3 linked regions of the Danio rerio genome follow. The protein of the gene in region 1 purifies or fractionates together with the protein of each later gene. This does not show direct contact. Links are inferred from orthologs where the notes say so. Each region holds a gene or a part of one and is shown on either strand. Other genes may lie near its edges.

Region 1 (3,736 bases):
ATGAAATCCGGTAACCAATGACTTCCATAGTGTTTGCGTTTCCTACAATGGATGTCAGTGGTTACCGGTTTCTTTCTTTGTGGTCATCATAAGAAAGAAACTCAAACAATGATAAAGATGAGTAAATGATGACATACCATTCATTTTTGGTGAACTTTTTTATCTTTAACTTGTAACCCAAATCCATGAGTATAAGCCGGTGTGCTTACTCAAACAGATGTTGCATGAGTGATGTTGTGAATTTGTTTTTGTGCAGTGTATTCTCACAGGGACTTAAAACTGGCTGTGCTGCAGATAAGGGCGCCCATCATCCAGGTTAGTGGTGTATGTTAATGCAACAAGTGTACAGGTGCAATTAAAGGCACAATATGTATGATTTTTGTTTATTAAAATAAAGGCGTGCTATCTATTTTGATCAAGATTAATACTTCAATTATCACAAAGAACTTTTAGAAGAATGTTCAAATTAAAAAAAAAACAAGCAATTTGAACTATTGTGACAAACCGTGTCATGTGTTGCCATGTGAATTACAACACGCACCCTCGATTTCTGGTTTGCTTTTATAGAAAACAGAAATAGCAAAGATGCTCTAATATGTCGTGCCTTTTATTAGACTGCAAGAAGCAGCACTTTATCAGAATCTTAAGATGTATTTCGTATGAAAAACAGCATTGCTGCTTACTCATTTGATCATGACTGGATGAACTGGAAGCGGTAGACTGTGGTATAATAAAAGCTCTGTTGTCTTTATGCTGTATCATTCTTGTCTCTCATCTGTAATTCTTCAACTCATCCATTAACAAGATTTCTGCAGAAGTCCCATAATTCCATATTCAAACTGTGCCTTTGTTTGTTCTGAACAGATGCCCTCGACGGCGAAAATTGCATACTGTGCCTTTAAGTCAGGGGTATCCAAACTCGGTCCTGGAGGGCCGGTGTCCTGCAGATTTTAGCTCCAACTTGCCTCAACACACCTGCGAGGATGTTTCTAGAAAGCCTAGTAAGAGCTTGATTAGCTAGCCCAGGTGTGTCTGATTAGGGTTGGAACTAAACTTTGCAGGACACTGGACCTCCAGGACTGAGTTTGGACATGCCTGCTTTAAGTGGTTAATCAGTGTGGAGTTTTTATTGCCATGCTGATTTTTTTGGTTCTGTCTTTTACATGTCACAGACTCTCAAATATAGCCATTACAAAATGTAAAAGCCAGTGCTATCTAGATTTTGTTTTAAGACCCCATTATAGGGATAGTTTACCCTAAAAATGAAAATTTACTCACTATTTATTTAGTCCTCCTTATGTTCCAAACCTGTTTAAATTTCTTCTGCTGAACACAAAAGCAGACATTTTGAAGAAAGCTGAAAACCTGTAACCACTAACTTCCATAGTAGAGAAACACAAACACTTTGTCAATGGTTACAGGTTTTCAGCATTCTTCAAAATATCTGATTTGTGTTCAACCGAAGAAAGAAACTCAAACAGCGATGCATTTCCCAAACAACAATGTAACTCGCGGCTGAACTATCATAGTACGATGCATCGTTTGAGAAAAGAACAATGTAGTGACAGGTGTTTTCCAAAACCCTTTGTTTCTCTGTCGCAGATCCATCGCTTGAACCATGTTAGTTATTACGTTAAACGCCCACAATGATGCTCTAAACTGGGCGGAGTAACTACTTCATTAAAGAAAACCCCATATTTTACACGCACACGCATTTACACAATTGTAAAGATGAAGATCACTATAACTGAACTGTAAAAACACTTTGAAAGCAAATTACACCTAAGAGAGATGACCTTAATGCTTTTTTATTTTTAATAATTCCAACTTTGAAAGTTAAAATGTTCTAAATGTAAAGGGCATAGGGGGGATAAGTGGGAATAGAAGACAGCCAGGAACTATTTTTCTAACTACAGCTCCAGAGGTGTAGTTGCAAGCGCAGAAGTTTGCGACGCAGTTTGCGAATGTTCGTTGGAGCGACGTATTTGGGATATGGCAAATTAACAAACCCTGTTTGTAACGACGGAACTTGCGACCTTAGTTGGCTAACGATGGTTTTGGGAAACCCAATGTTTGGAAAAAGTGAAGTTTGGAAAAATGATAACAAAATGTCATTTTTTTGGGTGAATCTCTTTTTTACTATTATATTAATTATACAATATGCAGTTTAATATTAACAAATAATAATACAATATAAATAATACGATGAACCTGCCTATATTTTGTCAATATTACATTGCTCAATTGTTACTCCCTTACCAAAGTACTGTCAACTGTCTTGTCAAATTGTATCTAAACTAACTTACATTTAAATCTCGCTGATGACACAATAATAGTCACACCGATAACTAAAAAATGCCAAATATCTGCTGGTACATACTGTAAACACTGACAATTTAACAGTCGATTACTAATACAGTCAGTTTTTATTTTTATCTTAGACAAAAGTGAAATCATTCCGAAAGCTGATGATCTCCTGGATGAAGAGCAGTGGATTCCTCAGAACTGTGCTGCTGTCCAGTGCACATGCTTATCAGAGAGATGACCAACAGCTTCATGGGTAATGAAATACTGATGGCCTGATACGCAGAATGTAATTTATATAATGTAAATGAATGGCAAGTATGTGCGGTGCAACATTTGAAGACTAAAGCTGTAAAATAAACACTAAAACTGTGTTATCAATCATCATGTGATTAATTTTAAGGAAAGAAAGCTTTACTTTAAAATGTTTCAAATTCTATATTTTTTTATACAACAAAATGTTTTAAAATCTAAAAACAAAATGAATATTTAAGTCAGGGGTGCTCAACCCTGTTCCTGGAGATCTACCTTTCTACAGATTTCAGTTGTAACCCGTATCAAACACACCTGCCTGTAGTTATCAAGTGCTGTTCAGGTCCTAATTAATTGGTTCAGGTGTGTTTGATCAGGGTTGGAGCTGAACTTTGCAGGAAGGTAGATCTCCAGGAAGAGGGTTGAGCAGCCCTGATTTAAGTCATTCATTTACAGGACAATGGTGTGTTGATTTTTGAAAAAGGGTTTTCAAGATGCAAGTTTTTGTAAACCGTTATGCTATTGTTTCTGTGTATATTATGAAAATGTGATTTTGTGAACCAGGTAACATTATTGCACATAATGAGGAACTACAGGGCAATATGTGTGCAGGGGTGTAGTTTTTTTATTTTTTTTTTTTTTTTTTTACGTTGCTACTGATCGGGATTCTAGAATACATTTTTAGTCATTTTTTTGTAAATGTGTGTGTGTGTGTGTGTGTGTGTGTGTGTGTGTGAGCACTATTTTTGAGTTTTATACACACCTGCTAGAGACTCAACTGACTGGACACATTCAATGACTACCAAAAAGCTTAAAGGAACAGTTCACCTAAAATTGTCCTCACCATTTACTCGCACTCAACATTTATTAGGGTATCCGTGGGGATTTAAAAAAAATCTTAAAATGTTTTACATGTCAAAAACTAAATTTTAGACTTTGGAAAAAGTTTTAAATTCACTGAAATATTGTCTTGTAGGTCTTAAATAATTTGAAACGGATCTTAATCCTTCATTGTTTATTTAAAGCTACCCAATCGATCCAACACAATCACAAAGCTACCCAATCATCAACAATTCATCTCAATAAAACTTTTAGCAAAACTATATTCATAACTAATTGTAATAGTTAATTCATAACTATGTCTGTTGTGCATACATTTATTTTAAGTTTTTTTTTTTTT
Region 2 (4,279 bases), on another chromosome or scaffold:
CCCTTCCAGCCAGAAACATCCAATCATTTATTCACACTATGGCCGATTTAGTTCAATTCACCTATAGCTACCGCATGTCTTTAGAGCAGCGGTGTCAAACTCAATTCCTGGAGGGCCGAAGCCCTGCACAGTTTAGTTCCAACCCTGCTCGAACACACTTACCTGTAGGTTTCAAACAAGCCTGAAGGACTCAATTAGTTTGATCAGGTCTGTTTAATTAGAGTTGGAACTAAACTGTGCAGAGCTGCGGCCCTTTTGGAACTGAGTTTGACACCTGTGCTTTAGATCAAGGGTGTAGAATTAGCATGGACTGAGGGTACATGTCACCACCATTATCCACAGATTATTAAAATGCTCCCACCAATAATTTAGTCACCTCCAAAAATAAAATCATTCATTCATTTTCAAGATTTTCCTGGGGCGAGTCGCGAGGGCAGTAGTTTTAGGAAAGAACCCTCCAGCGTGTCCTGGGTCTTCCCTGAGGCCTCCTTAATTCCGGTGGGACATGTCTGGAACACCTCCCTAGGTAGGCGTCCAGGAGGCATTCGAAACAGAGCCACCTCAGCTGACTTCTCTCAATGTGGAGGAGCAGAGGCTCTACTCCGAGCTCCTCTCGGGTGACAGAGCTCCTCATTCTATCTATAGGGGTGCGCCCTGTCACCTTGAGAAGGAAACTCATTTCAGCCGCTTGTATCCGAGATCTTGTCCTTTCGGTCATGACCCAAAGCTCATGACCATAAGTGATGGAACGTAGATTGACCGGTAAAGATTTGCCTCTCAACTCAGCTCCTTCTTAACAACAATGGACCACATTACTGCTGCTGCTGCACCAATCCGCCTGCCAATCTCACATTCCATCCTTCCTTCACTCAGGAACAAAACCCAATACTTCAACTTCTCCACATGGGGTAAGGACTTTCCTCCAACCTGGATATATTGCAAACCTCATTTTCCCGGTGGAGCCCTATGGCCTCGGACTTGGAGGTAATAGATATTCAAATATTAAATGTTATTTGTAGATATATTTTGGCATATATTACACAAGTATTTCTAAAACCATGATCTCAGTTCTGAGAAAAAAGAAAAGGGGGATAAAAACAATTTTAAAGATGTTTATTTATTTTTTTACTGCAAATAATTATTGTCTCACAATGATTCTAACCAACTTACTCCAGTTTGATAGCTTCTTTATGGAAATAAAATGGGTAATATGCAGGTTTAGGTTTACTGTACACAAATGTAATTTGAGAACAAGCCTATCCAGAAGAATATTCCATGAAATAAAAGCGTGACAACTCAAAACCAACTCTTTTATTTTCAGTAGAGAAATCATCCGTTTTATAATGGCTTATAATGTGTACATTTCTTTGTCGTGTAAACTCTTTCGATAAAAACTATATGCGGATGATCTGGCGGGAGCGCCTGAAGCAGAGACACGTGTTACACGGTATATATTCCTACTCTATAGGTTCCTACACTGCTTATCCTATAGATGTGAGGCGGAGCGCGGAAGCTCTAACGTGTGACACAGAGGGAAACTAGTCTAGCGCTTCCCGGAAGCGAGACCGCAGAATCATGGCGACCGTCTCAGTGTGCCAGTACCAGCCCGGCGGTTTCAGTTTCGAAAACTGTAGGAGGTGAGTTTTAAGCGTCTGTATCATTTGTTATTATGCCGGGGACGTTGGATAATTATTGTGTTTTTAATTCGTCGAAAAGCCCGAGAGTTTAAAACAAGTTTAACGGCATTTTAATGATCGGTTGAGCCACGGCCTGTGTGAATGACTCAGGAGAATTTGCTCAAGCTTATTTGAATAGCGGATTTAATAAGTAAAACACATTATGATTAGCATTGCGTTCTGTGTGAAATAAAAAAATATATAAATATATATGTTTATTAATATGAAAGAGTACGTTTTTTTGTTAGTGTTGATAATGTGTTGTCATTGTTGGACTGCGGACCCCACACCTAAAGTGTGTATGCAAGTTCACAACAAAAATGAGCATGTAAACTGTGGATTAATTTGTTTTTCATTCTGTTCTGGCCTAAAACATTTTTTTATTTAATCAATACACGGTGCGGTTTGAGTTTGATGTTTTAAAAGGTAAAACACAAAATCATTGTTCATGTTTTGTTATTGGTGGGCTGCGGACCCCGTCCACACAGTCTGTATCTCAATTAACGTTACACCAAACTGACTTTTAAAGTGTAAATTAAAGTGAGTTTCATTCATATATAAATACATTTTAAGTCAAAAAACCATTTGATTTGTATTTAAAACTTACTCAACGGAAAGGTTAAGTTGCATATACAGGTGGGTCTTTTTGGAACAGATGAATCCAATACTTAAGTTATTGTACGTCTTTTAAATTATGATTTCTTTTATATTATTTCCTTTAACCCGACTTAGTTTCTTTTATAAACCGGAATATTTATATATGTGAATAAAGGAGTGGTGAGAAAGCAGGAGATCTGTATCTGATCCATACAGTCAACGTGAATGTAAAACATAATGCTTGTTGTACATTTGCTGACTGGAAAAACTAGTGGCTTTCTGCTTGTTAATGTTGGATATTATCCATTTTAGAGCAGATTTTTGTAAGATAGAGAGCTGAGCAAACCCATCTTTTTTATTATGAACCATTTAGTTATGGCCCGTGTGAATGACTCAGGAAAATTTTGAACACAGTTTAATTAGCTCCAGCTCTTTTGAATCCGTTTAATTGCGTAAAAACACAAACTAATGTATATATTATTTATAAAATATACAATTTAGTTTTTTTGTAATTTTGTAATGTATTTTTTTTATTTATTTTTATTTTTTTTAGTTTACTAGTAGTGTTTTTTTACACTGACACTCTGCAGCCCCGATGTCATGTGTTTGTACCAGGTTTGTACACAAAAATCTAAATGAACTTAAGTTTTGTTTATTTTTAATTTGTTAAATCATTTCTGTTTAATGTCTTATGAGCAGATTAGTATAATGAATAAAAAGAGTCTTTTAGTAGCTGCTAAATCAAATAATTCACTTATTGTTTGTGTCTAAAGTTTTTTATTGTTTTTATGAACAACACAAAGATACATATGTACATAGGCATAGAATGATTACCATTTTCAAGGTTTACCGTGCTTTGGAAAAGTCAAGGTTTTAAAACCACCGGCATTTTCTGCTATACCGTTATTTTTATTTCCTTTTCAAAATACAACAAAATTGTGTTCAAAAGAGGAATTTTAGTTTTTTTTTTTTTTTTTTTTTTTTTTTTTACCCAGACATTTAAAAATAATATATTTTAGAGCAGCAATCACAATACTGTCAAACCATAAAACTTTCATCCAAGGTTGTCTTACCGTCAGAATCTTATACCAGACCATGCTTATATGTACAGTATAAGTGTGAATCAATAAGTGGTGATAAGTGCAAAGTGTCAACTAGTTGTCAAAAGATCTTAGATTTTAGAATTTGTTATTGACATTCTTCTGTATACTATTGATTTCTAAAACATATTGTTGCATAACACCCATAAGAAAATAGCAGAGATTAAATAACAAAATAAAACCTTTGTGCTATTTTAGAAATGCTCTTCTGGAGGCAGACATCACTAAACTGGGTTTCAGCTCTCCTGCTGCCCGTAAAACCGGAACCACTATCTGTGGGATTGTTTATAAGGTAAGAAAAAAAAACAGTTGAATTTAATGTGTGAAATCCAAGGTTTGACTAGATACTCACGTCTCACTTCTGTCTCAGGATGGTGTTGTTTTAGGTGCAGACACTCGTGCAACTGAAGGAATGATCGTCGCTGATAAGAACTGCTCTAAAATTCACTACATCTCTCCCAACATTTAGTGAGTATAAACTCACGTCATGCATGCTTGTAGTTTTTGATCCCTGACATCAAATGACACTGCATGTTTTTCTGATTTGTTGCATAGCTGTTGTGGAGCAGGTACAGCGGCGGACACTGAGATGACCACACAGATCATCTCCTCCAACCTGGAGCTTCATTCTCTGTCCACCGGTCGTCTGCCACGAGTCGCCACAGCAAACCGCATGCTCAAACAGATGCTCTTCAGGTGACAAACACCTATTCTGCGTGTGCAATATAGATCTTAAATGTAGAATTCTGATGTTTAAATGAAGAGTTTAAAAGCAAAAACCTCTTAGTGCCTTCTGATTTGTATTTTTTTTTTGTCTAAAACGAGCATTTTGTGTGTAGGTTCAGTAATTTCACTTTAATGGAAAGTATACGTGTTCTTTTTATGGCCTTTAAACTGAAATGACTG
Region 3 (3,174 bases), on another chromosome or scaffold:
CCTTGTTGATGCCAGAGGTCAAAGGACTGATGCCAGACTGGTTCGAGCTGATAGAAAGGTAACAGTAACTCAAATAACCACTCGTTATAACCGAGGTACGCAGAAGAGCATCTCTGAACGCACAACACTTCCAACCTTGAGGCAGATGAGTTACAGCAGCAGAAGACCACACCGAGTGACACTACAGTCAGCTAAGAACAGGAAACTGAGGCTACAATTCACACAGGTTCACCAAAATTGGACAATAGAAGATTGGAAAAATGTTGCCTGGTCTGATGAGTCCCGATTTATGCTGCGACATTCGGATGGTAGGGTCAGAATTTAGCATCAACAACATGAAAGCATAGATCCATCCTGCCTTGCATCAACGGTTCAGGCAGGTGCTGCTGGTGTAATGGTGTGGGGAATGTTTTTTGGCACACTTTGGGCCCAAAGGTACCAATTGAGCATTGTGTCAATGCCACAGCCTACCTGGTTATTGTTGCTGACCATGTTCATCTTTTTATGAACACAGTGTACCCATCTTCTGATGGCTACTTATATGGTGCCATGTCATAAAGTGCGAATCATCTCAGACTGGTTTCTTGAACATGATAATGAATTCACTGTACTCCACTGACCTCCACAGTCACCATATCTCAATCCAATAGAGCACCTTTGAAATGTGGTGGAACGGGAGATTTGCATCATGGATGACAAATCTGCAGCAACTGCGTGATGCAATCATGCCAATATAGACCAAAAACTCTGAGAAATATTTCCAGAAGCTTGCTGAATCTGTGCCATGAAGGATTAAAGCAGTTCTGAAGGTGAAAGTGGGTCCAACCCGGTATTAGAAACATACCTAATACAGTTGCCAGTGACTGTTAAAAATGTCATACAAAATTCAGTATTTTTTTCTTGTCTCACTCATCTATACTTTTTTTATTTAAAATATAATCAATTGCATTTAAAAGTATAGATTTTTAAGTCACTGATGCTGACTGTTTTATTAAATACAAATTCAAACAGACATAGTATTACAGAAATAGTCATTATAAATAAAATAAAAAACTCCCTTTAATGATAAAGTTGAATTTTCAGCAGCCAGTGTCAAATGATCCTCCTATTACATCACGTATTGGTACTCAGAAAACATTATTTAACATAATTAAGTAAACTATTTTTGAGGAATTTGTTTTACTTTTCTTGATGAATAAACTGTTCAAAAGAACAGCATTTATTTTGAAGTAAAAACAAATTATAAATAACTTTGTAACAATAAAAGTCCTGCCATGCATGTTTGATCATTGTATTGCTTATCTGAACAAATGTGTACGTTTCCCTTTATGTTTGATTGCCATAAATATAATGCTAAAATAACTACGATTTAATGTTGATAAAATATAAATATACAATGACATAAAACTGTCATCCATGCAACAAAAGTCAACGGACCGTTCCTCTCTGTCTCTCTCCTCCTCTCGTTCAACATCTTTCCCCTTTGTCATTGTATGCGTAGAAGAAGATCACCCACGTTTCAGTGTTCGCCGAGGGATGTTCATAAACTGAATTCCATCGACTTAACAGGATAGTTTACTAGCCCCCGTCAATAAGTTACAGGTGAGAAATTGCTGTTAACTGTACGCTGTTCTGTCTAAGAAACTGTGTGCTGTTTTTAGCATTCTGTAAGGCTAACTTATAGAGACTATGAGCCTCGGTGTTTCCTGGATTACACACCGCGTTTGATAAGCCGAACGCCGCGACGTCATGCGGCCTAGTCTCGCTTTAGCACCGAATTAGCATCAAGACTAAATCTTTCCGCAGAGCTTTCTGTTTGCTTATAACTTCCAGTAATTCGATTGTTAATAAGTATTATCATATGAATCTCATGATTATTATGCTTGGTGGCTCTTACTCTTATTTATTTTCAGGTGAAATTAAATAATGGCCCCTCAACCAGTCATCCGATCAAAACAGGCAGAAAAAACAATAAACGGAAACCAAACTCAAGTTGTTTGCACGGAATTCAGCAACTACATATTTATCGTTCTGACACAGTATGGTAAAATTGGAACACTTGTGTCTATAACGCCTGACACGAGGTCCGGTGACATCAGTGTACCAATGTACACTAGCAAAGTCCTGCTGGGGAAAGATGAGGTACTGAAGTGTGCTTTCTGTTTGATAACTATCAGCATAACAGATAAAGTCGTGTTTGTGATTCACCTTGTCATTTCTGTCTCCTTTGCAGCCTCTTACACACGTCTACGCCAAGAATGTTGCAACGTTTGTCTCACAGGAATCAGGCAACCGACCAATCCTGTTGGGCCTTTCACTGAAAGACAACAGTGCTGAAACTATGAAAACTGTTAAAGATATGATCAAAAGCTGCCAGGTTTGGTAAACAGAAGGTCACATGGCGAGCACACTATTTTTGTTTTGGAGTATCTGTGTGATTTATACATCATAAATCTTTACTTGTCTTTGGTGAGTTTACAGGATGCTTGAGCAGATGGTGATCTTAAGTGCTCATGCTATACTTGAACACTACTCAGCACTTGATTCTTAATATAAAAACGTGAGAGAATTGTTCAGTTTCACTTCTATTTTTCCAGATAATAATGGATGTCTTTAAGTTGTCACAAGAATAAATTTATATTTTCTTATCTTTGGTTATTTTTGGTGCTCATTTAAATGATTCATACCAGTTCTAAAACATTTGGAAAAGGACCTGCAATGTTAGCCTCACATATACTGTCTGCTAAACAGTTATTGAATTCAGTGTTCACTGAAATGTTCAGCTACTTTAATCCATATTTTCCCCATATGATTTTAATTTAGTTACAATCCAGAGTTGACTTTTTTATTTGAAATAAATATAAGCTAAAATTAAGTTTATAAACTGAGTATAAATATACAAACTGAAATCATTTTGTTCATTTCTGTCATTCTTCTACACAGAGGGCTATTTTACATTTTGAGGGCCTGAAAACAAATTTTTGAAGTGGAGATTTATGAATACGATGAGGCCTTGCATATTACTTGACAACCAAAACAACAGTGGTGGCTTACACAGCTGGATGTGCACAGGCGTGTATGTTTAGTGTTTCTACACCGTGCCATTGTCAGCTTAATGCACATACAGTTGAAGTTATTATTATTAGCCCTCCTGAATCATTAGCCCCCCTGTTT

What was found.
Region 2: the proteins of psmg2 (region 1) and psmb7 purify together in Homo sapiens (affinity purification with mass spectrometry; 3 studies listed by BioGRID and IntAct, counting the BioPlex papers as one, with this or other methods). This does not show direct contact. The link is inferred for Danio rerio from reciprocal best matches to the Homo sapiens genes PSMG2 and PSMB7.
Region 3: the proteins of psmg2 (region 1) and psmg3 purify together in Homo sapiens (affinity purification with mass spectrometry; 4 studies listed by BioGRID and IntAct, counting the BioPlex papers as one, with this or other methods). This does not show direct contact. The link is inferred for Danio rerio from reciprocal best matches to the Homo sapiens genes PSMG2 and PSMG3.

The regions. Positions count from the first base shown.
Region 1 is NC_133194.1:13,456,607-13,460,342, forward strand, and holds part of psmg2 (proteasome assembly chaperone 2), read left to right. Parts: intron 1-256; coding exon 257-315; intron 316-2,441; coding exon 2,442-2,560; intron 2,561-3,736. UniProt on the Homo sapiens protein: Chaperone protein which promotes assembly of the 20S proteasome as part of a heterodimer with PSMG1.
Region 2 is NC_133196.1:9,696,472-9,700,750, forward strand, and holds the start of psmb7 (proteasome subunit beta type-7), read left to right. Parts: upstream 1-1,479; 5' UTR 1,480-1,575; coding exon 1,576-1,637; intron 1,638-3,571; coding exon 3,572-3,665; intron 3,666-3,743; coding exon 3,744-3,841; intron 3,842-3,928; coding exon 3,929-4,069; intron 4,070-4,279. UniProt on the Homo sapiens protein: Component of the 20S core proteasome complex involved in the proteolytic degradation of most intracellular proteins. This complex plays numerous essential roles within the cell by associating with different regulatory particles.
Region 3 is NC_133178.1:41,959,852-41,963,025, forward strand, and holds psmg3 (proteasome assembly chaperone 3), read left to right. Parts: upstream 1-1,491; 5' UTR 1,492-1,602; intron 1,603-1,913; 5' UTR 1,914-1,926; coding exon 1,927-2,142; intron 2,143-2,233; coding exon 2,234-2,386; 3' UTR 2,387-2,648; downstream 2,649-3,174. UniProt on the Homo sapiens protein: Chaperone protein which promotes assembly of the 20S proteasome. May cooperate with PSMG1-PSMG2 heterodimers to orchestrate the correct assembly of proteasomes.